3 linked regions of the Caenorhabditis elegans genome follow. The protein of the gene in region 1 interacts with the protein of each later gene in a pairwise test. Each region holds a gene or a part of one and is shown on either strand. Other genes may lie near its edges. The genes, in order: gst-39, pkc-2 and bra-1.

What was found.
Region 2: the proteins of gst-39 (region 1) and pkc-2 interact in a two-hybrid assay, tested with the Caenorhabditis elegans proteins (one large-scale study listed by BioGRID).
Region 3: the proteins of gst-39 (region 1) and bra-1 interact in a two-hybrid assay, tested with the Caenorhabditis elegans proteins (one large-scale study listed by BioGRID).

Annotation. Positions count from the first base shown.
Region 1 is NC_003280.10:15,167,876-15,176,471, reverse strand, and holds gst-39 (glutathione transferase), read left to right. Parts: upstream 1-4,555; 5' UTR 4,556-4,561; coding exon 4,562-4,700; intron 4,701-4,752; coding exon 4,753-5,243; 3' UTR 5,244-5,309; downstream 5,310-8,596. Other genes in the region: Y53F4B.36 (Wsv310-like protein), read right to left, coding at 1-56, 297-390, 448-485; gst-31 (glutathione transferase), read left to right, coding at 1,525-1,663, 1,708-2,201; gst-29 (glutathione transferase), read left to right, coding at 6,623-6,761, 7,389-7,879.
Region 2 is NC_003284.9:9,372,146-9,385,925, reverse strand, and holds pkc-2 (Protein kinase C-like 2), read right to left. Parts: upstream 9,656-13,780; coding exon 9,570-9,655; intron 9,391-9,569; coding exon 9,224-9,390; intron 7,362-9,223; exon of another isoform or gene 7,231-7,361; intron 5,875-7,230; coding exon 5,805-5,874; intron 5,587-5,804; coding exon 5,486-5,586; intron 5,345-5,485; coding exon 5,262-5,344; intron 5,190-5,261; coding exon 4,949-5,189; intron 4,795-4,948; coding exon 4,635-4,794; intron 4,589-4,634; coding exon 4,348-4,588; intron 4,303-4,347; coding exon 3,982-4,302; intron 3,703-3,981; coding exon 3,499-3,702; intron 3,451-3,498; coding exon 3,240-3,450; intron 3,193-3,239; coding exon 3,053-3,192; intron 2,913-3,052; coding exon 2,835-2,912; intron 2,461-2,834; coding exon 2,302-2,460; 3' UTR 2,262-2,301; downstream 1-2,261. UniProt on the Caenorhabditis elegans protein: PKC is activated by diacylglycerol which in turn phosphorylates a range of cellular proteins. PKC also serves as the receptor for phorbol esters, a class of tumor promoters.
Region 3 is NC_003284.9:13,594,623-13,603,752, reverse strand, and holds bra-1 (MYND-type domain-containing protein), read right to left. Parts: upstream 5,305-9,130; 5' UTR 5,283-5,304; coding exon 5,214-5,282; intron 5,125-5,213; coding exon 5,008-5,124; intron 4,961-5,007; coding exon 4,754-4,960; intron 4,521-4,753; coding exon 4,362-4,520; 3' UTR 4,066-4,361; downstream 1-4,065. Other genes in the region: F54B11.8 (Yippee domain-containing protein), read left to right, coding at 1-75, 471-574, 623-766; F54B11.7 (CCHC-type domain-containing protein), read right to left, coding at 2,358-2,594, 2,643-2,977, 3,026-3,317; F54B11.5 (RING-type domain-containing protein), read left to right, coding at 7,686-7,774, 8,108-8,225, 8,275-8,432, 8,567-8,615, 8,993-9,130.

The sequences.
Region 1 (8,596 bases):
TCACCATAATATGATTGCGACAGGCTCAATGGAAGTACCCACACATGGACACGATTCTGAACTTACTTAATTATTTCGCTGACGCGAAGTTTTTAGGTTTTTGTGCAAAAAATTTGTTTCTGGTCTTGACTGACCGCCTTTTTAAGTTTTGAAATTTTGCTTTGAATGATAGAAAATGGGCCGTAATTAACAGATACATATAACTTTTAATTTAAAAATATTAGAATTTCTTTTAATTTTTATAATTTAAAGCAAAATTTCAAACTATAAGATTTCATTAAATACTACATTCATACCTCAAAAACCTCCGATCGGAAATTAGAATTCGCCATCTTGTTCCAATGTTCAGAATGTTCATAACTCAGTGGATTATTTATTGCGTCTCGAGATCTAAATTTTTTTCACTAAACTTTACTGAACTTAAACTCTTGATTCCATTCGTAATACCTCCGCGTTGTACACAATCCTGATTTTGGAACGCACATTAGTTGATTGGAAGAAGAGAGGAAGGTGTGAGTATTGGAGTAATAAATTCAGAATCGCAGAATAATAGTTTTTTAAGAGAAAAAGTTCACGTAAAATTAATTTATTTAATATTCAGAATATATTTTACTGACTAAATAAATGTACATTTGGAGTATAGTCTGCATCAGTGCAGGATCTGGGAGCTCATCCGTTTGATACAACTTGTGCGAGCCAGTCGGAACTTAGTCTTGCAGGCTCCATTTGGCTTGAACCTCAACAAGCCACTTAAAAATTCGTCTTGCATGCATGACTAATGGTGGAAATAAGATTTATTAATACCGTGATCTTTAAATTGAGCTAGATGAATTTCAAAATCCTAAACAGAAGAGTTTTCTGAATTCTTGAATTTTCTGGGATTTCTTTATTCTCTCTTTCTCACATCTGCCCAGTCTAAGCCTAAGCCTAAGCCTAAGCCTAGACCTAAGCCTAAGCCTAAACCTATGTCTACTCTCATGATATTTACTTTTCAAATTAACACGTGAATTTAAAAAATGAATCCCTCGGTTAAAATGGCTTCAAGTAAATTTTTACATGTTTTCCGTCACACCACAAACCACATTTTGTCACGAAAGTTTCTGGAAAATGCTGACAAACATCGAGTGAAAGGAAATTACTACTAGAGAATTAGACATCCTGTTAAATAGACCAAGTGGGATTAAACATCAAAGTATGAGACGCAGAGTGGAGGAGGAGGGTTTTTGGAGAGCGGTGTGTATTTTTGGAAGTTTTTCTTATAAGTTGAGTTTTTGAATTGACAAGTTTATAAAAAACCATTGTCATTTAACCAACTGAAATTTTAAATTTTAAATGTTTTTTTTAAATAAAACTGTAGCATCACAATTTTCTATATAACATTTTTCCGCTTTTTCTGAATGTTAATTGCGTCTAAAGTAACACTAACAATATTCCCAACCTTGGTTTTTTTCAAAAAAAAAAGTCTCTAATATCTCTTTTAAGCCTGAAAGTTAACATATAACTTATAGTTTCAGTGAAACCACTATGCCAACCTACAAGCTGACCTACTTCAACTCTCGATTCTACGCCGAACCGGCTCGCATTCTCTTCCATCTTGCGGGGGTCCCATTTGAAGACATCCGAATCATCCATGGAGATGGTACTTGGGAGCAGATTAAGGATAGTAAGTGAATTTTCATGTTATCATCTTCTAATGTTATATTTCAGAAACTCCATTTGGTCAAGTACCTGTTCTGAACATCAATGGATTTGAAATTCCTCAATCTACTGCAATCATCCGCTACCTTGCAACCAAATTCGGATACGCTGGGAAAACCCCGGAAGAGCAGGCTTGGGCTGATGCAATTTGTGATCAAGTCAGAGACTTTATGGCAGTTCCATTTAAAGATATTGTAGTGGCAAAACGTGTTGGAAAGACAGAAGAGGAAGTGTCACAGCTTATAAATGAAGGATTCGTCCCTGGCAGAGATGCTTACTTCAAAATCATCACAAGGATCCTTGAGAAGAACAAGTCAGGTTTCCTTGTTGGTGATGGAATCACATTCGCCGATATTGTTGTCGTGGAGAATTTGACCACGTTGCAGAAGAATCAGCTCTTTGAAGCTTCGAAATATCCAGAACTGGCAGCTCTCAGAGAGAAGGTCTACGCGATTCCAGCCATCAAGAAATGGGTCGAGGCTCGTCCAGATACTCAGTATTAAATTTTGAAAAACAATTTTTTACAATAAAATTCCTTGATTTCATACATCAGTGTTCTCAAAAGCTACTAGGTTCTCTACACTTCGGACAATAAATCTTGAACCATGGGTGGGCGGCAAACGATTTTTTCCGGCAAATCAGCAATTGCCGGAGTTAAAAATTTCCGGCAAATCGGCAAATTTGCAAATTGCCGGAGTTAAAAATTTCCGGCAAATCGGCAAGTCGGTAAATTGCCGAATTGCCGAGTTGCCTTTTGTGGTTTTGCACATTTTCTTTTGGAAAATTCAGAAGTGTTTCCGTTGCTTAAAAAAGTCCTCTAAAAATTTCCGGCAACTTTATATCCGGCAACCGGCAAGTCGGTAAATTGCCGGAATTAAACATTTTCGGCAATTCGGCAAATACGTAAGTTGCCGGAATAGAAAATTTTTGGCAAGTCGACAAGCCAAAAGCTGAAAAAAAATTTGCCGAATTTGCCCCACCCCTGTCTTGAAGTATGCAGCTCGTGTTAACTAGAAAACTATTGAAGTTTATCTAATGAAACTTACTTGCAATTAGTTAGAATTTTGAAAAAAAAATCACAATTTAAAAAAAACGCTGTAAATGTGTGCATCGTGCGCCCAAAATGCCAATGCTGCAAGGTTCTTGATGAACAATTCGCAAATTAACTTCCCTTTCTAGATCACACGAAAATTCTTATTCCCGTGTCCTTTTGTTTCAATGATAATGATAAATGTGAAGCTTCTTCCCCAATCACATGCTTATCTGATAAATCTGAACAATTTTATGCTTTCAAATCACATTTAGACACAAAATCTTCTGCTCGAAAATGCTGACAAATGGGCGAAAACGGTGATCCTTTTTGAGCTCGCGTCGAGGCTCGTTGCGAAATAATTAGAACCAAACATCGGCAGCTAGACACAGCATGTGCGAGAAAAAGGGGAAATCGGGAAGACGGTGAGAGACGCAGGGATTGGGAGAGTAGTATATATACACCTGCATTGAATGATTGTTTGTCAAAACCTTCCCATTTTTCTCTGTGAAAGCAGAAATTGATATATCAGGTTGTCCCATAAGTTTTTGTACTATTTTTTTTTTGAAAAAAATTTATTTCTCTCAAGCGACAAGTAGTACTATTCACACAAGTATTCACCATTAGTGTCCACCACTTGTTGCCATTTACTAGGTAACATCATGATGCCACGGGAGAAGAAATCCGGCGAACGCGATGAGAAGAAAGTGGAGAGTTCAGTTTTGAGATGCTCTTCGTCGTCGAATTGCTTGTCGCGCATGTAGTCACTGAGAGACAAGAACAAATGGTAGTCGGTTGGTGCAAGATCTGGAGAATATGGTGGATGCGGTAAAACAGTCCAACCAAGATCTTGCAGCTTTTGGAAAGTCTTCTTGGCGACATGAGGCCTAGCATTATCGTGAAGAAAATATAGTTTTTCATATTTTCCGTTGGTCTTTTCTGCAACTCGGTCCAATTGGGCACAATAGTAATCAGCAGTGATAGTTTTATTAGTTGGCAACAATTCCCAGTGCACGGGTCCTTGAACACCCCACCAGACACAGATCATAATCTTTTTTGGGTGAAGATCAGGCTTTGGCGTCGGTATTCCTTTCTCACCGATCGGAAGCCATTGACGTTTTCTGGAATGGTTAACATAGAGCACCCACTTCTCATCTCCAGTAACCAGATTGTTCAGCCAATCGAACTTTCGACGAAAAGTTAGAAGTTGAGTACAAACGTTGACCCGAGTGAGCTTCTGTGATGCCGAAAGTTCATGAGGCACCCAAATTCCAAGTTTTGAAGTAAAACCAAGGCGACCCAAGTGACGTGCAATTGTGCTATGACAACACTCAAGCTTCTCTTCCATTTCACGAAGACTAAGACGAGGCTCTTCCTCCACCAGCTTCACTAGGTCTTCTTCATTTAACTCTACCGGTCGCCCAGAACGTTCTATTTCTTCGAGACTGAAGTCGCCGTTCTTGAACTTTTGAAACCAACTCTTTGCTGTATTATAAGAGAGTGCTCCCTCACCCATCGCACCGCATATGTTTCGTTCCGCTTCCATTGCTGAATGACCAAGACGAAATTCATAAAGAAGAAGCAATCTAACGTCTCGACGTTCAAGTTTGATGATTGTCATCGTGGCAAAGTAGAAATGGATGAAATGAATTTTTTCTGAAAGGGGAAGACCCGACCTTGACACGACCTACGATGAAAAAATTTTAAAACTTTCTAGAAGTTTTGGAAAAATATTTGAAAAAAAGTACAAAAACTTATGGGACAACCTGATACATAACTTTTAAGTTTATTACAGCTTTCCCTACTCCTTACTTAATAATCAGTTAATTTCAGATGCCTTTGTACAAGCTCACCTACTTCGACGCCCGCGGTTACGCTGAGCCAGCTCGTATTCTATTCCATCTTGCCGGAGTCCCATTTGAGGATAACCGTCTCACTCACGGAGATGGATCCTGGGAAAAGATTAAAGACAGTTAGTTTTATATTTCCACCAGCTAGCTATTTCTACAACTCAAATCTTACAGAAACCCCATTCGGACAAGTCCCGGTCCTGTCTGTCGATGGATTTGACATCCCACAATCTGCTGCAATCATCCGCTACCTTGCCAATAAATTTGGTTATGCTGGAAAAACACCAGAGGAGCAGGCTTGGGCTGACGCTATCGTCGATCAATTCAAGGATTTCATGGGAGCATTCAGACAGCTCATCATGGCTCAACGCTCCGGAAAGCCTGCCGAAGAGATCGCAAAAATATCGTCAGAAGTCGCCATTCCAGCTAGAGATTCGTACTTTAAGATTCTCAATGGGCTTCTTGAGAAGAGTAAGTCTGGATTCCTAGTTGGAGATGGTCTCACTTTCGCCGATATTGTTGTCGTGGAGAACTTGACTACGTTGGAGAAGAACCAATTCTTCACCGCATCGGAGCATCCAAAGTTGTCAGCTCTCAGAGAGAAGGTCCACGCAGTTCCAGCCATCAAGACCTGGGTCGCCACTCGTCCAGATACTCAATTCTAAATTTGATCTGATTTTGGAATTGTTTCTTTAATCCTTATTAACCGAATAAAATATTTTTGATATTCATATTCCGAAAAATAACTGTTCATACCCATGGTAGACATCAATCCAACAGAAATTGTTTTAGGGAGCCTTGCACAAAAATTCCAGCCTGCCTGCCTAAAGTATTTGAAATTAGGGAATAAGGAGAGAGAGAGCACGATATAAACATCAAACGTTGTAGTTCACTCCAAATTGAAAAAAAATAGGCGGTAGGCAGGCACGGTAGAAATGTAGTCCAAGCTTACCTTATTTTAAAGTATATTAAAACAATAATTTTGTGTAACATACCGAATTTCCTCTATAAGTTTTTTTGCACCTCGTTGTTTCACTTTAAGAGCATATATCTCAGCTGTCGGTTATTCTATCAGAAGATTGCCAACCAGGGGTGTGCGGCAAATTTTCCGAATTTGCCGAGTTTGCCGTTTGCCGAGCTCGACAAATTTCAAAAAAGTAGATTTGCCGAATTTGCCGAGCTCGGCAAATTTCGAAATTTGCCGCACACGTCAAAAATTTGGCAGGACAATTTTGACCAAAACTGTTGATTTTTGCGCCAAAAATTTGGTAAAATGACACAAAATTGAGTTATTTTCATGTTTAAGCAGACACACCACACGGAACTTATTCATACACCAGTTGTGTGTTAAGAATGCAGTAGTTTTGGTGCTCACAAAAAACATCAAAAAATATCAAATTTTTCCGAGTTTGTCAAGCACGGCAAATTTGCCGAATTTGCCGTGCTCGGCAAATATTGGAAAAATAGATTTGCCGAATTTGCCGAGCTCGGCAAATTCTGAGATTTGCCGCACACCCCTGTTGCCAACTAACAAAATATTTGTTATATCATTTTCTATTATTTTGTAATTAATTTTTCATCATTGTCTTTGAAATAAACCGAGATATATCCTTTCAAGACAAAACAATACTATTAGTAAGGTTCATAAATCTAAAGAAGGTGTCAATGTGTTGAAACCACACCCGAATTATGTTTTGAACAACTAATTGGGTATTGTTGAACAACATTTTCAAAGCCCTCTAGAAAACTGTCAATATGAAACCAAACATCGGCCATAAAATACGACATACAAGTGTTGACAAAATAAGAAAGAAATGACGACTAACACTACATTCAGCGAGAAATCGAAATCAAGAAGTTCATTTTGTTATCGTCTTTCGTTTTTATTAATGTGTTGACAGTATGGAATTAAAACTTTATAATGGAATTTTCCACTTTCTTTTAAAGATGTGTTTGGAAAGTGCTTTATTTAGTTTTATTTCTCATTTTTAAAGAAGACAGTCAAATCTGATTTCCAAAACTTTTCGCTTTTAAGAGTTCAATTATGCCTACCTACAAACTGTCCTATTTTGACGTTCGTGCCTACGCTGAGCCAGCTCGAATCCTCTTTCATCTGGCGGGAGTTCCATTTGATGATCATCGTTTTCCACATGGAGATGGTACATGGGAAAAGCTTAAAGACAGTGAGTTTTTCTTACAATTAGAGGTGAACTTCAAAATTGGTAAATTATATTGAAACCTTGTTTGATTTCCAACGTTCAAATTACAAAACTTCCTATTGTTGTATGATAATCGGTTTTTTTAAGTTAAAATTATTATATAAATGTAGGAAAAGATTTGCTCAATTTGAAAATCCTATTTATTTTAGTCGAAAATTTGAAAAAAATTCTAATCGTGCTGAAAGTTGACGTTTGCCATTAAAAGTGTTATGTAGCAGTTATTCTTAACTTTTGTTCATCAGACACAGACTTTATCCCTATTTTTTGGACACATTATTAAATGATAAGGTTATGTAACAAAGCCTCAACCCGTTCCCACTTTTTCTGTATTATTCCACAATATTCAATATAATTTATAATTTATAATTTTTCCTCTTTTTTTTTCTCTTATTTTCACGTTTAAATAAACGTATTCAATAATAATAATAATGTATACTGTTCAGATCAAACGAAATTCTTCCTAAATTTTTGTTCAAAAATTTCTTATTGAAAATTTACAGTCTATTTGAAGTATTTGTCAAAAAACGGGCCCAAGAAATTTTCAATCACAAATATTTATCTGAAATTTTCCAACTATTTTATTTTTTCCAGAAACTCCATTTGGCCAAGTTCCAGTTCTATATGTGGATGGATTTGAAATTCCACAATCTGCTGCAATTATTCGCTACCTTGCCAATAAATTTGGATACGCTGGAAAAACTCCAGAGGAGCAGGCTTGGGCAGATGCTATTGTGGACCAATTCAAAGATTTCATGAGCCTATTTAGAGAGTTTAAACTTGCACAAAAGGCTGGAAAATCGGATGTGGAAATTGCCAAAGTTGCCTCAGAAGTTGCAATTCCTGCTAGAGATTCGTATTTTGAAATCATCACAAACCTCCTTGAAAAGAGCAAGTCAGGATTTCTCGTTGGAGATGGGCTCACATTTGCTGATATTGTCGTGGTGGAAAGTCTTACCAACCTGGAGAAAGTTCATTTTTTCGATGCATCGGAGCACCCGAAATTGGCAGCTCTCAGGGAGAAGATCTACGCAATTCCGGCAATCAAAAGCTGGGTGGATATTCGACCAGATACTATTTATTAATTTAGTTTCTGGATTTCTTTTGTGAATAAATTGAAATAAATTCAGAAATATTCATGCAACTATTTTTATACTTACAATTAGAACAATTTTATTTTGGCGGGGACCGCGGACAAATAACGGGCGAGACCACAAATCAGGGGTGGGCGGAAAACGATTTTTTCTGGCAAATAGGCAAATAGCCGGAATTGAAAACTTCCAGCAAATCAGCAAACTGGCAAATTGCCGGACTTGAAATTTTCGGCAAATCGGCAAATCTGCAAATTGCCGGAATTAAAAACCTCCGGCAAATCGGAAACCGGAAAATTGCGGAATTAAATTTTCCGAGAAACCGGCAAATCTACAAATTGCCGGAATTGAAAACTTCTGGCAAATCGGCAAACCAGAAAATTGCCGGAATTGAAATTTTCGGCAAATCGGCAAATCTGCAAATTGTCGGAATTAAAAACCTCCGGCAAATCGGAAACCGGAAAATTGCGGAATTAAATTTTCCGAAAACCCGGCAAATCTACAAATTGCCGGAATTGAAAACTTCTGGCAAATCGGCAAACCAGAAAATTGCCGGAATTGAAATTTTCGGCAAATCGGCAAATCTGCAAATTGTCGGAATTAAAAACCTCCGGCAAATCGGAAACCGGAAAATTGCGGAAATAAATTTTCCGAGAAACCGGCAAATCTACAAATTGCCGGAATTGAAAACTTCTGGCAAATCGGCAAACC
Region 2 (13,780 bases), on another chromosome or scaffold:
TAAGTGCATGAAAATGTTTAATGTTCTAACACGGAATGTAAAAAGTGAAGAAAGTGGACTAGTGACGTAACATCGGTACAATTTGCTGCAAAACAAAATTTAGCACAGTCACTCCGGCATGAGAGGCTTCGGAGAATATTAAAATTTCGGTGAATGAGATTATTATCTAAATAGTTTTTAATAAATTAATTTGAGAATTTTAGCACTCTTGAACATATTCTGGGTTGACAAAAGAGAATCCTTCGAATTCAGTTTGATCCAGATTCATGAGGAATAGACGGTCAATCGGAGTAAGCTTAGGGACCTCGTGAGTAAACTCTGAATCGAAGTTGGAAGTATCATCGGCGGATTTCTGAAAAAAGGAGGTGAATATTCAAATTATTATATCTATTTGATCTATCAAGAAACAAGTCTTGGAGTTGAAAATTATCGGATATTTTACACAATGGTAAAATGAAAATTTAAGTTGTTGGTGGTTTCATGGTTTTTTTTTAAATTTACTGTGTAATTTAAAATTGAAATTTCTTACTTTTTGTTTCTTTTGAGCATTTGACTAGTTTTTGTGATTTGACATTTGGTATTAATTTAGAGCGGTAAAACGCACTGCTATTTTTCGATACAATTAACGTTGGCTTTGACGTACGTTCAATTTTCATCAGAAGTGTTTTCATAAAGTTTAATTATAGAAATTAAATTGACAAATTTTATAATTTTTTTGTTCAGTACGTATTAAATATCTTAGTTCAAAATTGTCTTTAGACTAAAAAAATAAACTCGAAAACCGATTTTCATGGTTCTCTCTTAAAAATTTTTCAACAAAAACAATTATTTTGTGGTTTTAGATTTGAATAAAAAATTAAGATTATATCTGAGACTTTTCTCACTTAAAACACAATTGATTGGTATTTTATTAATGCTCTTGTGTTACTAATATGATCTCGTATTAATTTTTCAATATTATAATTTATTCCATCTCTAATAGGAAACACCTTTAAATAAACTTTTGGACCAATAACTTAAAAAAAGACTCGTGATTTTAAAAATATCGGCTTGTTTCATTTTATTGTTTTTTTATGAGTTGCTTTTTTTTCATTTATTTTTGTAATAAGTCAGTCTAATGTTCATATTTGTTTGCACATTTTCCCATTTCCAAACAGTTAACATTTTTTAGATTAATGTAATAAAACTACCATATCCGATGTGGTTGATAAAAATGCAATTATCTATGAACTATTAAAAACGCATGCAAATACTCAAATCATCCTTTTTTTTTCATTAAAAAAGACGGGTGAACTGTAGGGAAGAACAAGGTGAAATGACGACATACCTGGTTAGTGAACACCAATCCACGACGAGGTTATACAGAATCAGCATATCGAGAATATTAAACCACAAATATTACAATCTACATATATTTGGTGTTGATCAATTCAAAAAAGAAAAATCACAAGCAAAACTTTGATTTTATTATAGGGAGACTGAGAAAAATTGTTTTTAAAAAGAAATTTAAAAAAAACAGAAGCTGATAGTAATAGAAGTGGGGAATGAATGGCGGAGAGTGTAAGTTGAAGATGTGAAAGATATGGAAGCAATAAAAAAGGACGCAAAATTAAGAAAATAAATAGTACATAAAAAATATGGCTAGAAATAGCAGAATTGATTTGATGTGATTTTTGTTTATTTGACTTGGTTCAGAGTTTCATCAGGATACTAGTGTTTGGTTAAGTTTTGAGAGGGGTAGATGAAAAATTGAAAACAACATAGTTACGGGAATTGAAATAAAACTCACAACAGATCCGAGATTCAAAATTTGCAAATCGTTAAAATTGAAATTCATAAATTCAATTTTTAGTATATTAGAAATAACTCGGTTCGTGGGATTTTTTTCAATGTCCGCCGTAGTTCAAATAACTGAGTAAAAATTATTTCGTAATCGTGGGGAGAAGCGCTTTAATGAACATGTCTTTACTGTTCAATTATTTGAGTATTTAGTTTGCAGATCACATTTTTCTCAAACTGTAAACTAAATTTAGTTTGGCTCAATAAATTTTTCGAAAAACAGAACAATCAAAATCCACTTGAATCAAAAGATTCAATCCACAAAAACATCTTTCCTTATAACGCTTTCTTAGTTGTGAAATTCAAAAATTTACCAACGGACAGACGATAATAAACTACATATATTGTGAAAATGTTTACAATGAAACTGGATACAAATGAAAAACAGTGAAATGTTAATTAGAAGAGGGTTAGTATTTATATATAGAATACCAGGAGAAGAAATAATTAAAAATAATATGATCACGGTTCTACATCTTTGACATAAAACGGGTTGACAAATGAAAAGTTGCTGAACTCGTCGCCCTTGAGATTTTCCAAAACTTCCCAATCCGGCGGTGTCATTTTGGTGGGCAATTTGAGGAACGAATGGTCAAAGTTTTCCGTTGACCTATCGGTCTTCTGAAAAAATTCACAACGATAATAACATGCCAGGAAGAGCAGTGGGATGTAAGCTGTGAGTAGGGTTAGATACATTCATGGGTGTCATGCTTTCGAAGTAATGTATAACAACATGCGAAACGTTCCAACAATTAAATGTTTGATGTAATTTAATTTTTCTCGAACATCAAAAACAACTGATGTTGAATTGAATCATTTTAATAAAGCGATAGTATTCTGGTAAAGCATTGGGAATCGTTGAAAGCAGATAGGAAAAACAAATAAACTCATTGACTCATACCCAATAAAGTTTAAAACATATTAGACAACCGGTATAGCTAAACTGTTAAGCAGCCCCATTTCATATTAAATCCCTGAAACAAAAAAGAACGAACCAGTTTTGGCTTGAATGGTGGTTGGATTTGACGAGTCTCAATTTTGAACCAATCAATGCGGCGGAAGAATGGATGTTCCTGAAATTTGTTTTAGGTGGTAATATGAAATATTAATTTTTCAAGATCAAGAGTTTGTCTAAGCCAATGTGGCGAAACAAATTTGAAGCAAATAAAACTAACCAACGGCCACCTGAGTTTAATAATTTCATTTTCATTACCTTAATATCTCTACTCGCTGATTCATCGTCTCCAGTACATCCCAATCGTTTTGATGGATTTTTGATGAGCAATGCTTTGCACAAAGACACAGCTTCTTTGGATAGACTTTTCGGGTAGGACACATTATGCTCGGTGATAGCTGAGTTTTAACAATTTTATTTTAAAACCATATGGGATTCAAATTACCTGTGAAAAGTTCATCTTCGTCTTCTCCATCAAATGGTGGTTGTCCTGCAAGCATTTCAAATAGTAGGACACCATAAGCCCACCAATCCACAGATTTTCCATAAGGCTGATATAGAATAATCTCAGGAGCAATGTAGTCCGGAGTTCCACAGAATGTTTTTGTCGTGGCGTCTCCGAATATGTTTTCCTTGCACATTCCAAAATCGGTGATCTAAATATGAATCTATAGTTTGAAAAACAGTTGAGCAAATCGGAATACCTTTATATGCCCGTCTCGTTCGAGCATAACATTATCCAATTTCAAGTCTCTGTAGATGATACCTTTTGAGTGAAGGAAAAACAGACCGACGGCAATTTCAGCAGCGTAGAAAACAGCAACTGGTTCTTTGAATTTCCCAACTTGCTGGATTTGATACATCAGATCACCACCATTTACAAATTCCATCACGAAATACAAACGGTCCTGAAACAGAGATTCATCAAAATACGGATTTGATTGGGGGTTTGAAGAGTTTTCATTCAAAAATAAGTGCCTTCAGGACTTATGTATATTATATTCCATCTATCCAACAATTATTATTTTCAATGTCATACTTACTGTTACAGAATAATTTGCAATAACCTAGGGAAAAACACGTGGATGAATGTCAACAATGTATTACAAATTCGAACATCTATTAACATCTAAATACTTCCACATGTTTGATCCCTTTTTTTCAATAAATCTGTTATGCGCACTGACCATGGTCTGGAAGCACGAATGCAGAGCAACAAGGAATGATGGTTTTTCCGGAAGAGCAAGGACGCGCTTCTCAGTCATTGTGCATTCCACGTCATCGTCTTGAATAATCACATCTTTCTTGAGCACTTTGATCGCAAACAGCTCTTTTGTTGTTTTTTGTTCGCCAAGCAACACTTTTCCAAACGATCCTTTTCCAAGAACAGTGAGGAAATTAAAGTCAGAAGCCTTGATCACGTTGTGATTGGAACTGCCGAGAGGAAGTGTACTAGCTCTTGGGGCAGCCGGGTCTTTTGGCTTAGAAGAACTGTTGTCTCGTGTGATCTAAAACGATAAAAGACACCTAATTGCATTAGAACTTATACTTACAAAGTTTTCATTCATCTTCTTGCGCACTTTTTCCATATCTTCGTCGTATTCAGGTGTGATGTTGATATTGTAGAATTCTCCTTCTTCCGCACTGAGCAGTTTGTACCAACCGGACGCTGCTTCCTTCATAAGTTCTGAAATACCAAACGACAAGCTTCCCATGAAGTCATTTCGAGATGTACGATCCCAGTCCCAAACTTCAATAGAAAGCCGCCGATCCTTATCTCCTGGTAGCAGTTTACTGAAACCCAAGTTTTATTTTTAAATAAAGTGTTACAATGACTTACTAAGTAAAAGTTTCATTCCATTGAGGGTTAAGAGTAGCTCTCAATGTTTTAGTTTTCTGTTTTGACTTGCATCCCGAATCCTCCGGAATCAGTTTGCACTTCACATAAGGGTCAGACAATCCATTGGGGTCCATTGGAATCAAGTTTTTCGCCTCCAGAACTGTAAAACAAATGTTGTGTATCAAGATAATTATACACTCTAGCAGTTTTGATGAAAATATTTATTTTCCTGAGAATCATTGAACAACGTAAGTTCAATTCTTTCAATCTTTTTGTCTATTTCCATTTAATTTCCTGCGTTGCACCCCACTCACTTTTAATGGTTAACTGATCATTCTCGATGTGTGCTTCAATTCGTAGTCTACCTCTCTTCTCTGTATTGTCGGTACCACACATGTTCGGCACATTCTTGACGCATCGGTGATGCACATTTGTGTCACAAGATTGGCACTTCATGCCTTGGTGCAGAATACCGTAGAGCAAAGAGCCACAATGATCGCAAAACGTCGGCGATGAGTATGTTTGAACTTTCCATTTATGCTGCTGGCGAGGATCCTGAAATTAAAAGTTTGAGGAATGGATGTCATAAAAAAAGAAGAGAAAAAGAAGATAGAGTGCACAACTTACATCGGTATCTACTCCTTTATCTGCTCCTGGACATGCGAAATTGACAAACTCGTGACACCTCTTGTGTACCACAAGGGTACATACTGAAAACAGAGTTCTCTTTATCTATCAAACTTGTTTTATAGTCGCATTTTATGATTTATAAACATTTGTTTCGAATTGCATTGGATACAAATTAAGAAGAAAATAATTATTAATATCAAATAAAATTTCCAATAAATTACCTTGGCACTGAAATCCCTGTTTTGTTATACCCCACAAGAAATCTTTGCAATGTGAGCAGAACGTTGGCTGTTTGAAAAACCTTGCAATGAATTTGTGCGATCTGATAAGAATTAAACTTTGAATCAAAATTGTGCAACAAGAACAAGATATTGATTTTTGTTTTCATTTGAAAGACCTATGATATTCAAAGATAATGAAAGAATTTTTTTTTTCAATTTTTCAGTCAAAATAAATGTCAGCTATCAAATAACCAAGATAGGAAAACGGACAGTGCTGACTTTTACGAGGGTTTTGTTTCAAAGTTTGGTATCAACTCACTTGATTTCATGCACATTTTTCTGGCGAAGTGCACCACGACGAACAAATGCTTTTCCTTCGATCCGTTGAGCTGAAACGAAGACAAACATGAAAAAGGGAATCAAATAGGTGAGTTTTGCTCTCCGAGCCCCGCGCAATTATATCTTCCCCACCATTTTATTTCTTAGTGTAACCTCCCCTCCCTCCTTTTGTATTCGTTTTCTATAGTTGCAAACTTTGAAATGAAATGGGGTTTGGCTTCCGTGTCGTGAGGTCATTTTAAGGATTAACTTTATTTTTGCATGTTTTAAAGAACAAAATGATTACTCTTGAAAACATAAAAAACAAGAAACCTACAAATTCGACGTCGCAAGTTTTTTACAATCGTAAATGCGCGTTTCATGGGAATGGTGGGAAGCGAAATAGGGGAAAATGGGAGGGTATGAACAATTTTTATCAGGAAACACTGGGTTGTGTCACTTTTTTATTTTCGCCCTTTTTCAATAGTCATAGGACATGCGGGCAGAAGATGCTTTTGTCTTGGAGGTCCTCAGAAACTTTTTGCCATTTATTGTTTTCTTAAGAACGGAAGAATTTTAATGGAATTTCACTACTATGTTTGTTTTGTTTACAAGATTGCTGTTAATGCAATTTATATTAAAAAATTTTAGAAATCAATAAAAAATCATAATGAGAAAAGCTACATTTATTTGTTGGGCTAACTTTGCATGGATAATTTGCAATATTAATTTTTATATTGGCTTTTTATACTGTCAGATTTCAAAAACATAAACTAACAAATGTTTTATAGTACTTAATAAAAATAAACATTTTCTGATGAAAAACAAATCCCTCTTCACATTGTTTTGACCTTTTTTCAACTAGGACCTGTATCTTCAGAAACTTTTTTTAAAAAATATTGCTCACTGATTTCAAACAAAATTTCCGTCTAACAATACCAAGCCAGTTTCAAAAGTGTTTCATTGGTAATCAATTTCAAAAAAGGAAGCAAATTGGGAGGTTTTGTAGAATAGCTCACCTTGTTCGTGAAGCCTTTTCAGCAATGGCCGGATAGATAGACGATGAGAAAATTCAAATCTAGGAAAATGTATGATACCGGGTGCCTCGTGATGGGCGTAAACCTTTAGACTAGAAGGGTTTGATATAGACTTTCGAATACAAAGTTGTTGATTCCCACCTCCACCAGTGGAATTGTTTTTCACAGGGCTGATTAGAGCAGCCGCCGCTAAAGACTGTGCTTGTGGAACTTCCATGAAGTGGTACAAGATTAAAATTAATAAAATGTTTCAAATGAGCTTCTGACGTTTGGTGGCGGGGCTTGAAAAGGGTAGCAGATGATAGCTAAATGAGTTAGAGGCGGTGAGCAAACGTGAAAAAAAACGGAGGTTTTCTCTCGTTTCTCCCGTTTTTTCGGTTAAGGTCCCGAAATGAGAAGAAGCAGCGACGACTACCCTAGCAAATGAAAAGCCGAGGCTGATGGCGTCGTTCTGCACATGAAAAATAGAACAATTTGGGTTGGGACCACAGGCCCCCGCCGCCGTTTCACTCCTCATCAATGGATGCCGCATCCACCCCACCCCCATTCCAATTTCCATTTCTCCTGTGTTTTTTCTTGGTGCGTGATTGACTCCGCCCACCTATTTCCTGTAATTCTTGATCCCTAATCTGATTTTTATTCAATCTGGTTGCAATTTTGCAAAAAGACTGAGTGGCCTGATTTTGAACCCATCTTTAAAAAATTCCATACTATCAAAATCAAAAATACCCGTTTGTAAAATTATGTGAACTTAAAAGATCAGTCTCGTAAAAAAGACGCGAAGAAAAACAAATTATGTCGGTGAAAAGGCGATTGTGCGATGTTTGTTGCCGATTAAACTATGAATTATTTGGATAATTAACTTCTGAAATTTTAAAATGGGCATATGACAGAATGCGGAGGTGTTCATAAATGCACTAGATACTAGAGATTAATATAAGGTAGAATACATTAATTTATAAATTTTCAAGTTTTCCGTGTAGCTGTTCGGCGAATTTAATGTTCTTTTAACGATACCTTAATTCATACCCGCTATCAGCCAGCTTAAAAACTTCAAAAGAGGAGTACCCTAACCCCGTATTTTTAATAGTTCAACATTGCTAAATATCATAACAAAACATTCCGAAAAATTATGGTTGAAATTGCATATTAAAAAAGTTTAATCAAACGTTTATCATACTATGTTTATCATCACTTTTTTGTTTTGGCGTTTTTACAACATCCATTCTTATCTTTAACAATTCCTCAAATTAATACATAGCATTGTTCCAAATTAAGTCTACCACTATGTTGAAAAACATTAACTTTAGTCATAAGATAAATTTGTTCATGAAAATTTAAGGAAAACATATGATGTTCAAATTCTAAAGAATTTTTTCTCGAAACTTAAAATACAATCAATGTCAATTGGAAGATCAATGACAAAAGGAAACTGGTTTTTGTTTTTTTGCAATGCCAATGCGTTGGTATGTATTGTGATGTCCCAATTCTAATTTCTAATTTTATATTTAGTCGTTTTTTCCCTGAGATGTTTAATTCTATTTTGGCTCACTTGCGATTGAAAAGAGCAAACAAAAAAGTTTAAAATGAAGCAGTCACATGGAAGCTTTTTTTCAGACAACCGCCTTTTTTTCTGAATGCGTTTTCTGACGTCAATTTTAGGCAAATGGCAACAGATTTCTCAGTTAATCGACTATGGACATTTTAATTGAATGATTCATCAATGGGCATTTTTGACAGATAGGGAGTGAAGATGATAGAAAGGAACCTAGTTTTCAAAAAACTGCCACAGCTGCCCAGTTGTGCTTTTAATTAGATAGTTTTTCAAAGTGCGAGAGAAATTGCGGAAACAACTACAAAGTTATCAGAATCACGTACTAACACAGATATGCTAACCATTACTAACTACAGTGAAAAATATAATATTTTGTAGATCATATTCAAATAATGAGTCCGTTGAAAAGGGCTTTACTTTCAGACTTTGCTTCTTCTCAAACCTGAATAAAAATAATCTTGGTAAACAGAAACCTTCCAAATATTTTTAACACTACTTTTTCATATTTGATAATATAGGATGTCACCCTGCGTCTACCGGTAAAATTGTTAAACACAAGAAATATGAACTGCAAACGGTAAAAAATCATAATATGTAGAATATCAGTGATGAAGGTTTTGAACATGTTTTTAGAGTTAATTGATTTAATTCATAATTTTTAAAAAATTACTTCCCCTAACTACATTCTTCACGCCAAAATGGGCCCTATCCCATGTGTGTACTAAACACCACTCGCCTGAGAACCACATGAAACGTCAGAATACAAATTAGAGGGATACAAAGGACTTGTGTTTTTTTCTATGCTACTGAATAGTTTTGACGACTTACCGAAAGCTTCAGATAGTTTACGAAGTGCAAGATTCGACTCGAGCATAGGATCGGACGACAGATCGAGGCTCGGCCGAGCATCAGCGCTATTTCTGGGACCACCACCAATATCGGTCTCGGATCGTCGACGCTCTGCACTATCCATCGTCTCGCGCTTTTTTGCCTTCCTTCACCAGAATAAATCTTTTACAATGGTTTAATGAAAATCGCAGATGGGAGGAGGTATGATGAAGGGATGAATGGAATAACACAAACTAATGCAGGGAGGTAAGAATTGGCAAGAATTTTGAACGTCAACACAATAATTAATTTAACCAGAAACAGAAAACGTGAAAGAAATATTTACCTTAAAATATGAGATGTTAACGAAAACTTGTGAGACTTTAAGAACACCGAAGTGGATGATGACTTTTGCTTTGGTCGTAGGCTCATTTTAAAAGTTTATGAGTAAGAATATCAGTAGTTCAAATATTTAGTAAATGGAACTCTAGAAGAGAATAATATCAGATGGCCGGAGGTAAAACCACTACACGTCTTCCTTTTTCTCTCCTGGTTAGCTGTTGGAGGAGCTTCCCGGATTTGTGGCGAGTATCATATTGCCCAATTAAAAAGCGGTGCACAAGTATCAAATCCAGACATAGTCTCCGCCTCCGATATCCTCTAAGCCAAGAAGCTTATAAACATACGCACATACACACGTACGTCCGTGAGAAGAACGAAGCGACAGCAGCGATAAAGCTGAGCCGTTTTTCCTTCTTTTGAGCTTCTTTTTTATAAGCTAAATTTTTGGGTCAAGTTTACATACTTCACACCTTTCAAGTCAATCGAAGAAGCACATAGAAGGAGAAACAGAAGAAGCCTTGCCTCTAGTTTTTTTCCTGAATTGAGAACGAGGATAGGAAAAAAAACGGGACACGGATCAGGTTTCCAATAGCTTCTCGCTCATTATTTTCTTGTGTGTTTGAGCACAAGGGCAAAACTTTTCAGCTGTTGCTCTCAGGCATTTGGTTTCCTCATCCAATTTTTTTGATTCCAAGAATGTAAGATGATGACAAAAACTGTTTGTTTCTGACAAAACTATTTACAATCTTGAAAATTATGCAAATATATCAAGGTTGTAAATTTTCAAATATTTTTTTGCCGGTAGATTTAATTCGCAAAAAGAAACAAAAGCTAATATGAGCTTTCAGGAAAATAATGCTTTTCACGCTATTAATTGGACATTTTCAACTAAGTTCTTTTTTTTCGAATACTTATTTGAAACTGAATAAAAACAGCAGGTTTATGAATTTATATATTTTTATATTTAGTGTCACAAGTACTATAATTTTATTTATATTTAGTATCACAAGTACTATTAGGTCTCCAAATAAGTTCCGGGTCAAAAATCATAACTTTGTTCGCTGCGTATCGATTTTTATGAAACTTTGGGATGTATGTTACCAACCATGATCTTTCATTTGACAATAGTCACAAAAATTTTTTACCACCCCAAGTGTCCTAACTCGGAGGCAATTTTTTCAGGCATTTTTCTGATCTCGCTTCTTTTCAGCTTTGAATTGAGGTTTGTGTGCGGATTTTGCTTTGTTTAGAATACATTTTTAGAAAACAACAAAAGTTTAGAAAAAATCCGTCCAAAAAAAAAATTTTTTAATTTGATCGTCAAAAAATCTTCAAAAAACTTTTTGTCGAAAATTCTATATTTTTCCTACAAGAAAGATGTAACCAAGTGTAAATTACTTTTACACATACAAAACATTTGGGTTTAGTTTGTCACACTAAAATGATAACATAAAATATAATAAAATTTTTTGCATGTGTAAAAATAGTTTATAATTGGTTACATCATTTTTGTAGGAAAAATCTAGATTTTTCGAAGATTTTTTGACGACCAACCAAAAAAATTTTTTTGGACGGATTTTTTAAAAATGATTTTTGACCCGGAACTTATTTGGAGACCTAATATAATTTTAGAAACATATTTTTACAAAAAAATTAAAAAAAAATAATATGAGGAATAAGACGATAGATTGATTCACTATTAAACTTTTATAAGCTGGCTGGCTGATCAAGTCTTGCGTAGAAATTATTACTCTCAAGTATGATTATTATGGCAATAATAATTTTAACTCAAGAAGAAATATTTTAATTTCACAAAATACGTAACTTTTTGTAGCTTTGTTCCCAAAACTAATTTTTGAGCTCTCAATCTAGAATTAATCCACTGTTCACCACTGATAAGGAGGATATTTCAGTGCTTGTGCGCCTTGGATATTATAATAAGTGCGCAGTTATTGGCTATTTTTAGCAGAAAAGAAGAGTGTGGGGAAGTCTTTGAACTAGGGGATCATCCGGTATTTGTCGGGTGCAAAGACAAGTGAAGAAATTTGAATTTTGCTGTTTTCTTAGGGACTTGATATTTTATTACTAGTTCAAGTTTTTAAGCACACGATGAATTAGAAAATCGACTACACGTACACATTCTTATACATTATTCAGTAAGAAAAACTTAGGGAAAAGGGAATAGAGAAACTTGTGAAACCTGGGTAATATTTAAGCAAATCATGCGAGGTAAGGTACTAAGAACGAAGAACTGAAAATGCCTAATTTTTTCGGAAAATCGTTTTTTCATAGAAAAATAAATTTCAACGTGAGATTTTCCAATCAAAAGAAGAGAAGAAAATAAGAAAATAAGCCAAATAAGAAGCAGAAGCTGTTGACAAAAAGAAGCAAAAGTGAAGTATGAGAAGAAGAGTAAAAGGCAACTAAGTTATAGCCCTCTTCTTTTAACGGACTTCTTCACGAGCACATGGTCAAACGGCCCTACAATCAAATCACGCATAGAATAAGAGATAGATAGCAAGGATCCTTCTCCCTGTCACTTCAACTCAAGATATTACGTAGAAAACCTCAACTTTTCAAGATGCAACGAATAAAGAAGAGAAAACACGGACAAGTAGTTTGTGAGAATCTACAGCAAAAAGTGAGAAATGAGAATGAGAACAAAGAATGTTTTTTTTTGAAACAAAAAATTATAAAGAAAGGGCGCCTGCAAAAACTTAAAAACTAAATTTGCTAGACGTGTTTTATCGAGGTGTAGGAAAAATCAGTTACTCAGATGTAAATTCAGACGAAAATCTTTTTTTTTCTTCGTTTTTCAACTGTTGTTATTTGTGCTCTCATCACATTGAAAACAACAAAGAGCGCACCACTTATTACATCATAGAGGGCAGTGAACCGGATGAACATTGAAAAACTTCTATGCTTTCATCTACCCCCAGATGAGCAGACTCTTGCTTGTATGGACCATATTTCCGGCAACTCATCATCATCGACCGCAAACTTTTTATAGGCAATCCCCTTGTGAGTTACTTTTTTATATCTCGCAGTTTCGTTCTTTTTTGTTTCTTTCTTGTTGCGGCCAACTTTGCAACACTACACGCTCGTTTCATCGACCGCTAGTTTGTTGCTGTCAAACAAGAGCAGCGTGGCGCAGTGGAAGCGTGCTGGGCCCATAACCCAGAGGTCGGTGGATCGAAACCACTCGCTGCTAAAAATTTTATTTCTATGCACAGGTAGGAGGTAGGGCTGTGCGGTTGGCTACTTTTTTCGGCTGTCGGCTGGCGCCACCAGCCGACTGGAATTTTTGGCTAAGTATTGTTTAAAAGTTTCGAAGTTATTTAGTATACTTTTAGTAAAAAAACAAATTATAGCAAAATATTTTATCATTTTATGTAACAAAAACCCAAATTTCCTTATTTTTTCCACTTGTAGAACTTGCACCTAGTGTTAAATATGTCAAAAAGAGTTAATTTTTTTCAAAACGAAAGCCGAAAACTCTAATTTGGGTGTCGGCTGTCGGCTGGTCCCACCAAAAAAAAAAAAAACTCAGAAAAACTTAGAGCACAGCCCTGGTAGGAGGGAACAATCCGCTGACATATCTCATGGGAGAGTTTAAAAAAATTTTAATCTATAAAAATATGACTGGGAATTATTGTTCTAAAAAGGTTTGCAAATAGGCAATTTAACAAAATTCAGCTCATTCAAACGCCTACCTTCTGAATAGAGTTAATTTTCTCCTCAGCTATTTTAATTGAAACTGGGCAGAATGAAAACAATAATAATTGATCCTTATTTCCCACCCACTCATTAAGTTATTTTTGTCTTAATGTTTTTTTAGATATCCGTTGCTATATTTTGTAGGCCTGAAGCAAAACACTTCATCCAGTCTGGGCCTTTGTCCATCTTAATCAAGTACATCTTGATTTCCATCTCATCACATTTTGTGCAAATTGCATTTGGCTTCTGCTTTCTTTTCTCGCCTTTTTCACGGCCTATATTTATATAGCCAAGCTTGGAATAAAGAAGATGACGCATTTGAAAAACCAAATAAAGCTTTTTCAGTACTTAACTCAAACGATTAACCAGGAAGAAAACATTTGTATTCATTTGCACGTTTTATTTAAATCTTCTTACTAAGAAACCATACAAAAATCATCTTCAGTTCTCTCTCACCAGGAAAAAAATAATTTTCCACATTCTTGTGATATCAGTCCA
Region 3 (9,130 bases), on another chromosome or scaffold:
GTTGGAAAAATTTCGATTCTTTCAAGATCGCCATCCTGAACGCAGCGGCCAGAGCTCGAGCAACGGGAAACATTCGTAAGACTTCTTCTCTTTTCTCTTTTGGACCACTTCTCTTATGGAAAGAATACCATAGTAACACGTAGATAAATGAAGTATGACAACCAAGCAACGATTTTTCTGAAAATATATCGTCGGTATCATAAGTGCTGTTTTATCTGTTTTTTAGATGAAATTATGCGAATTATTTTCTTTGAGAAAAAATTATTCTAAGCCTGAAGAAATTAATTATATTACGTCAGTTAATGGGCAAAAACAATGAAAATATTGAATTGTCTATTCTAAATTTTGTAGACAAAGTTTTCGATTTTTTTTATTTTGGGTTTTAAATACCTGCTACAGCGTTGCTACTATTTCTACAGTCTGTCAAAGTTGTATAAACTAAAAAAGTTGAACGAAACGCTATTTTTCAGGTTACGACAGTCGCATGACCGTCTACTCTCATCCGGCCACACTCCAATGTGTTGATTGTGAGGAAGGAGTCAAAAAGCGCTTCACCCAGCTCTTGAGTTCGATGGTAAGCTTCGAAATCGTTTGATGATGCCTACCAAGCAACAACTTCCAGTATAAAATCTCAAAGGATTCCGAGGGATACATCAATCTCGACTGCACTCAAACCGCTGCAATGTACTTGCTCAAAGGTACTTCGGTGATGACACATTTGATCCCTGTCGAGTATCAAACCGGCATCAAACTTCCCCGTCGTTAGAAGAATTTGGTAACCGCTCTGTTGATTGATTCCAGTTTTTATTATAATCTCAGTTTGCTTTTTTGTGAGGTTTCGTTTGAAAAGTTTACAATTTCTAATCGAGCTTTTCAAAATTTCAAACAAGATCGCTAATAGTGTCTGCAGTAAAAATATTGTTAAGTTGTCTTGTTTTGTATTTTGAATAAACTTTGTTTTGTTGCTTCATTTTTATGCGCTTTTGATGTATTTGGTTGAAGTTTTGACTAAACATCGGATTTGATTTAATATTTAAAAACTTCTAATTTTCTTCATACTATCATTGTATTAAACATTTTTGTTCTGAGATTATCTGAATGTGATATTTGAGAAAGAGAATGTAAGAAAAAATAAACAAAGAAGGAACCGTGGGGAACGCGAACTGGAGTATATTTCTTGTTTATTTTTGTCTACAATCAATGATAAGTGACTCCTCGCTGAGAGTGCAAATTTTGAATGTTTTGAGCCGTTTTTTGAGCCGTTTTAAGCCGTTCTCTGGCTAGTTTTACTGATTTTCAAATAGGTTCATCAGTTTTCGGACGTTCAGCCATCTTTATATAAAGACTTTTTGGAAGACACACTTTGTTGTGAGTATCTTTCGAACACTTTTTTGAAATTAAAATTAAAAATTGCTGCATCAAGAACATGTTTTTTAATAATTTTTATGTTATTTTTGATTTTCAAAATTATTGTTTGCACAAATGGACAAATCACTTCAAATTATTTAAATTTGAAAAATAAAACTTTTTTTTTCAACATGTCTGAAACATAACTAAACATAACAAGATGTCTAAAATTTTTACATCATTGACGTTTGAACTTTTTCCCGTCTAGCTTGTACCTGTTTCTTTTTGATTTTTTTTTACCCCGTCTCTTTTTAATAGTAAGTGCAAAACGAGTGTCCGCGCGCGTTGCCCATTTTTCTTTTTACAGCCTAAAAAAAATTAAAAAACAGTCTCAATATACCAAACTTTACCATTTAAAAATCCAGAATTTTCTAAATAAATAAATATACTTTTTTTTTTAAATTTTTCAGAAATTAAAAAAATGTCTTTTGAATTTCCGCAAAAATATATAAAAGTATTTATTAACGATCGAGCTCATACTGGACAACTCATATGTGGTAAATATAGTATAAGTAAGAATAATGAAAATTGAGAAGCGTAGATAAGACAAAAGCCATTATAATAGTAAAGGGCTATAAGAAATAAGAAAAATGAGATGAAATGAGGAGAAATAAGAAGAAAAATAAAGAATATCAAAAAACATTTTTCAGTTTGAATTAAAAAAGTGAGATGTGTGGAGGCCCTGTCGGATGCCTAAAAACAGTGGAACACGGGAAAAATGAATTAATGTACATAAGTTAAACAATTAACGATTGCTGTGGTTGCTGTGGTTGTGATTGCTGTGAACAGCCTAGTTGCGTTTTACAAGAGGAACATAGTTTGGGCTTCCAGCTTCTTCACGCTGTAAGTTGTTGGTTTTTGGTATTACGTTAAAAATTATTCATCCTCACCTTGTCCGACGGGCGTTTGTTGGCTCGTGGCTTGTATTGTGGCTCTTTGTACTTGGTAGATCAGAACGTGATGTTGTGACACTTCGCTTTCTGATCATTGTAAAGAGCAGCGCAATAAGGGCACTCCACGTGAGCCATGCTGCAGTTGACGTGCACATTCGCTGTGTTGCGTACTCCGGTTTCCATACATCTGATGCACATCCTACGTTTAAAGGCTTGCTCTCTGCGAGGTAGGAACCAAGAAAACTTGAGGCAGTTTTCAGTGGCATGGTTGTTTCTCTTGCACAAGTGGCAAAACTGAAATTGTAACTTTCTAGTTTCGTTTATCAACTTTTACACTGTTACCTTTGTGACCTGCTTGACCGCTGCTGATGATGGTGGAGTGACGTTAAGTGGAGCTGCTGCGGCTACACCTTGTGTGGCGACGTTGGCGTTGATGGTGGAAATTCCATTCGCTCGATGGATTTCATCCACCTTCGTAGCAATGACGTAGAGGATTCCACGCATCTCGTGTATCATCCCGTACACTTCATCAAGCTTTTCAGCATTGAGTGCTGTTGTTTCAATCTTGGAGACAGCGTTCTTGGTGTTGTTGACATCTTCTTTCACCGTATCCATATCAGTTAGAAGCTGTTTAACTGAATGGTTGATGTTGGCGATTTCGACCAGCAGATTCGAATCTAGAATTAGCGTTTTTAATGTGAGATAATTTAACTTTAATTACTAACATTTCAACTCGTCTGCCGAACCGCTATCGCTCTTGCTCAATGAAGTTTTTGGAGCTGGTTCCTTCGGCTTGGCGGGTGGAGTTGTTGGACTGACACTATTGTGTTTTTTCTTGGCCGGTTCTGTGACGTCGCTGTCATCATTAGTAGAGACGATGATTTCATCTCCAACTACATCCGATGGGCGTTGTCTCTCCGGCATTGGCTCCACCGCTGGCATGTTGGTGTCGGTGTGCTGTTGCTGTATATTGGCACTGTCGGCTGGCGCCTGATCGGCAGTTTCCTTTGGATGCATTTTCCTGTAATTAATTATTTTAGTTATGAACAGAACTTGCGTTCTACAATTTTACAAGTTTTAGTCGTACTACGACAAGATAGGTTAAGGTAATTTTTTTTTTCATCTTGCGGAGATAGGAAAAGAAAGAATTTTTCAAACAAAAAACGCTTCGAATCAAGAGGGCGAGTGTAAAAATAATTGCGATTTTTTTCCGTCAAGAAGAGTTGAAAAGCGAAAATAATGCGACAAAATTCTGAAAAAAGCCTAATTATCGGTAATTCAAAATTAATTTAGATTTACTTTACGGAAAAATTCTGAAAAATCGACAAACCTTATTTAGGAATCGGTCTGATGAATAGTAAAGCACTTACACATTATTGAGCAAGATTTACTATTATTATCGCATCGCAAGTTGTTAAACATACTCAAACGATGTTCATTTATTCACAAATCGCAATTTCTATTCGTTTCGTTGTTGAAACTCAAACAAAGTATATTTGTTGTACAATCCGTGTAAATTTCATAGCACTCCTTCTAATTTGAATTTTTGGGTGCTTTCTGAAATAGTTTTTCAGAGAAGTTTATATTCATTTTAATTGCAGAGGTTGAATAACTCTCAATTCATTATGTCAATTCATATCTTCGTTAATTGTTTACATTTATACAATACACATCGGATGTGAAAACACGTTTGATCCCCATAAGTGTCTAGGAACATTTTCATTTTGTCATCTTTCACATTTACAGTATCCAAAAGGACATGTGTATCAAAATAAACTTTATTCACATAATTTCTTGATTATTTCTCGAAGGAATTAACACAAGTTTGAGATCTCTCCGAAATTGATCCAAATTCCTAATTAACAGGATTTATATAGAAGATCTTAAAATTGTTGTTGTCATGGGATTATAGAAAAATATTGCATGTTATTGGAGAGAAGATATACAGTAGTAACACAGAAAACGGGATGTGTGATGAGATAAACTTCGAAAACCTGACACAAGCTTTGTTACTTTTCAAAGGGCCTCCGGCTCGCAGATAGCATATTATTTAAGTTTCAATCATTGTTGACTTTGAGTAGGCTCAGCAATTGGCTGAACTGGTCCTGGGGCTCCACCGTTGCTCTTCTTTCTGCGGCAGAACTTGCGATGAATCTGCCAGTGTCCTTGTTGGCATTCAACGCTGCAATAAGCAGTGTTCCAGCAGCAATGATAGATTGCCTGAAATATGATCATGATGTTTCAGGTCTAGCGTTATTAATACAGCACTGGAGCGCAAAAGAATTATTTTCATGCTCGAAAGAAAATTAGCTTACAAATAAGATATAGTACTATGAACATTGGTATCACGACTCAGACTGATGTTAGAGATTTTGAAATATCTGGCAACACTCTACATCTTTTAAATAGAGAACCCGTCTAAATCAAAAAATCATAAAATCATAAAATCTCACCTCGCTGTTGCATTGCCAGCACCACTGCTTCTTCTTAGCGACAGCAAGTTCCCTTTGGTGTTTTTCCGACAGCTTTTCAATCTCCTCCTTGAGATTCTCCGCGTGCTTCTTCTCCAGCTCTTCCTTTGTCTGGTCGAGCTCTATCTTGAACTGAACCAACAAATCGCGACGGACTCGCTCCTGATCTTCCATGAATTCTTGATGGAGCTAAAATATAGATTTCTAAAATTAAAACTTTGGGGTGGTTGACTTACTTTTTCAGTTAGAGCAACGAGAGATTTCTCGCGGCTATCGTGATAATCCGTGAGCCATTGACGCTGAAGGTCGACAATCATTCGACGCATTTTGTCATCCACGTACAAGTCGTCGAACTGTAAAGATGATTTTTTTTAATTTTTTCCCGGTGAAAAATTTTAGTGAAAGTTGTTCTGTTATATTTTTCAAAAAAAAAAGCTCTTACCGTATTTGTTCCGTTTCCATTTTCCCCATTAACTTTTGGCGATGGTCCAGCTTCAGCTTCTTCCGACATTTCTGTAAATAACTGTGTTTCTCTGGAAAAAAATTAAATCAACTAATCAAAAATAAAAACTCTCGTCAGCACCGATATAAAAAAGAAAATAACAAAAGCGTTTAAAACCCCTCAACTCCACGCAGATACAACGATGCTCCGGAATTACGGCACTCTTGGTTTACACCAGTCTGAGCAGACGGCCGTCTGCTGTCTCGAGGTAATATTCAAATGACGACCGTAGAGAGATAGCGGAGAGGTAAAGCAAAAGAGAGAGCAGAGAGAAAGGAAATGGCAGATAATGAGCCCATGAGGCGAGTCGATATGTGGTCATGAGCCGGAGGGCGTTGCGCAGTCTAATGAAAGGATAAAGAAGAGATTATTGAGAGATGGAAGGTTCTGGTCACCTGCTCACAGACTACATTTTTTGAACAGAATGCGTTGTGACGTATCTGACTTTTTGATTTACAAAACAAAGGAAGAATTTGAATTTGTGTTTGACGCACTTAAATAAATTTCCGGGTGGATATGGAAAATTTGAGAATGAATATTTGAAAAAGAAAATCAAGAAAAAATGAGTTTTTTGAAAACGTATTCTTAGAAATTTTTCTTATAATTATAAGCCTTGTTGCTGTGCGACACAGGAAAAAATTAAAATTTTAACAAAAAACTTAAACTGGGAAAATGTTTTATTACATTTTGGAAACAAAACTGAAATCTCAAAAGATTGCCCCAAAAGCTCAGATACCCTTGGTTACGTCGTAGTTAATCATAAAATTTTTATGATTCTCGTAGGCTGAAATGGTGTATTATTGAAGCTTGAAGGGCTTCGCAAAACGGGAAATGAGATTTTGTGACTAACGGAAATTAGAGCCCAGCTAGCCGAAAATTTTGAAAAATTGAATATCAAGAGAAATATGTGGAAATTCTTGTTGGAAATTTTTAGGGATAAATATTGTTTTTTAAAACAATATTCGTTTTTTACGCACCAAATAGAAAAACAGAAGGAATGTGACAGAAATGTACAGAGAGGGTTGACTGACTTTGATTATCTTCTGGTATTTTTCCAGTTTTGCAAAGATATCTTAAGAAAACAGTATTAAAATGATTTCCAGAAGTTTCAGCGTTTTAGTAACTTTTATTAAGCAAACCTGTTAGTCGCAGAAAATCTGTCATCACACGTGATCGATGATATCTTTTTTTGTGTTCGATATCCTCAACCACGAATGCTGACTGAACACGTCTGCGAGATTTTCAAAAATATCCAGAATAAATTTTGAAGTAAGCATTGAATATCGTATATTTTCCTTCCAACGCGGCAATAGATGAGGGCGGCGGTGCACATAAAAATATCGCAAAGATGAGAACCATAAAATATTGGCGCTGCAGTTTTTTTGCAATTCGTTCTCTTTTCTTGACGCCCAAATTTGTTGGATCCTATGAAACAAAACGAAGGGTAGTAATGGGTGATAATGTACAGTTCAGTTCTACAGTTCAGAGCTCGGAAAATTCGGCAAATATCGTTTTTTAATATTTGCCGTGCTTAACAAACTAGGAAAATGTGATAATTTTTTATGTCTTTTTTATGTGAGCATTTTTTCGACTGTGGATTGCAGTTGACTAGACAATTAACTAAGTTAACTAAGTTAACTAGACTATAATTGACTTCCGAAGATACTCAAGTCGGTTGGGACAATCAGTTTTTTCTGCACTGATCTGCTTGATGTATCCTAATCGGCTTCATCTTTATCTGAGTAGGTGTGCTGCAAATTTGCCGTTTGCCGGGCTCGGCAAATTTCAAAAAAGTAGATTTGCGGAACTTTCCGAGCTCGGCTAATTATGTTAGGCCGGATCGATTTTACATGACTCATTTCCGTTGTTATCAATTTTTCTATCTGCTGAACAGGTTAACAACCATATGATAAGACGCGTAATGTGCCTATGTAATCATTTATTAAAAACAGTTTTTTGTGTACGAAAAAATTTCAAATAGAGGTGCCTGATTTTTACAAGCTGGATAAAACAGATAGTTCAAAAGTGGTATGATGTATGATGACAACGTTTATAGAATGACTTACATTGTTAGATAATTCATAAAATACTAAACTTTTTGTTTTGTTAGAAAAATGTCTTTATACGTTTAATTTCCAGAATATTTCCTGCACTTTGTGTGCTTGCCTTTTTTGCATACAATTAATTTGCTCACTGTTCACGAGTGCAAGGGACTCATGCGATACGTTTTCTTATGTTTCTCTGTGTCTCTCGTTTCACTCAATTTCTCGCACTACGTTACTCCGCTCTTCCACCCTGCTCGCAGTTTATTTGAACCATTTTCCTGATGTCATGTGTTTTGCATGACTAATTCCGCATAAACATACGTTTTTCTTGTAAATTAATAGATTAAATTATAAAATATTTTTCAGGATGGGTACTAATCAATCAAAACGACATCCACGATTTCAGTCATGCACATGGGATGAATTTTTGGCCGATATTAAGGAAATGAACCGAAAGTATGTTTTTTTGTTAGAGTCAAATTTGGTTGCAATATTTATAATTCATAATTTGAAAAATCAAATATAATTTCCAAATGTTTTAATTTCCTTAATCTTTTTGAAAATACCACTATTTTTTTTATACAGCAACAATTAAAAATTTATAAATAAAAAGGCTTTCCTTAGCGGTGTTCGAAAAATAATTTGGACATAAAGTGTGAAACAATCTTTTCGCAACATTTTTTGAAGTGTTTGCTTATGAACCCTGCACCAAAGATCGGATTCCTCGGAAGTTTCCCAAACATTACGAAATATGGCGTCACGACCTTAACTAACATTTTATTCGTTCAGTTATCGCAGTCTTCTTGTCGAAAACGAGGAGTACTTGGCCTTCGCTCTCCGGAACATTGACTATCAGCGTGAAGGATATGAAAACTGGAAGTCAGAGATTAAAATTCTCTGCTGCAAGGTGAGTAGTTTCATTGTACAAATCGAACATTGAAAAAATAAATTTTCAGGTTAATCAAATGTCGAAGCAAGTGTTAAACTACAAGGAGCTGACGTTTCGCGAGTTTCTCTCCACATATGATCTACATAAGCTGATGATCACCAACAAGGAAAGCCGTAAAAGAAGCGTGGATCCCATGTCGACTAGTCAATTCATTTTGACTCAAACGTAAGTTACACGAAGAAAAAAGTATACACTGATATCGTTATATTTGGAAAGAAAATGTATTTTAATTAAGACTGTTTCGTTAGTAAATTTTAACCTTAAAATTTTTCACAGGTCACTTCAACTTTTTTTTGCAGATCGGATGTCGAGGGTAACTGCGTGATTTGTATGGAAAACATCAACGATGTAAGTTTTCAATTTCGTATTCAAAATTAATTCATTAGTGGGTCCGTACATTTTGTATTTTGGAATCTAAAACCTTGGTAGTGCTCCTCATATTTAAAAACTTTTCTTCTACTGGTTCATTAACATGAGTTTGAGAAAATATCGATCAAGATTTCGAAATGAACAATTATGAAATCCCAAACTTGTTTACTTTGGATAATTTTAAGGCATTTTTCCGCAAATTTTTATCTGTGGATTCATATCGGTAAACTCATTTGAGCTCAAGGAATATTTCCAAAGTTCCAGTTCTCATAAAGAACATATTTGAATAAAAAACTGTAAATAGTAGATACGGAGTATTGAAAAATAAAAATAAAGATATTTTATTTATTTTTCAGTTGCTTCTCCCGTGCCTCCACGCCTTTTGCATCCGATGCATCGCCAACGAAATGGAATACCGCCACGATTTCTCATGCCCGATTTGCAAGACAAAGATCAGAAACCCCATCGAATCATCTTGGGAGGTGCCAGATGCT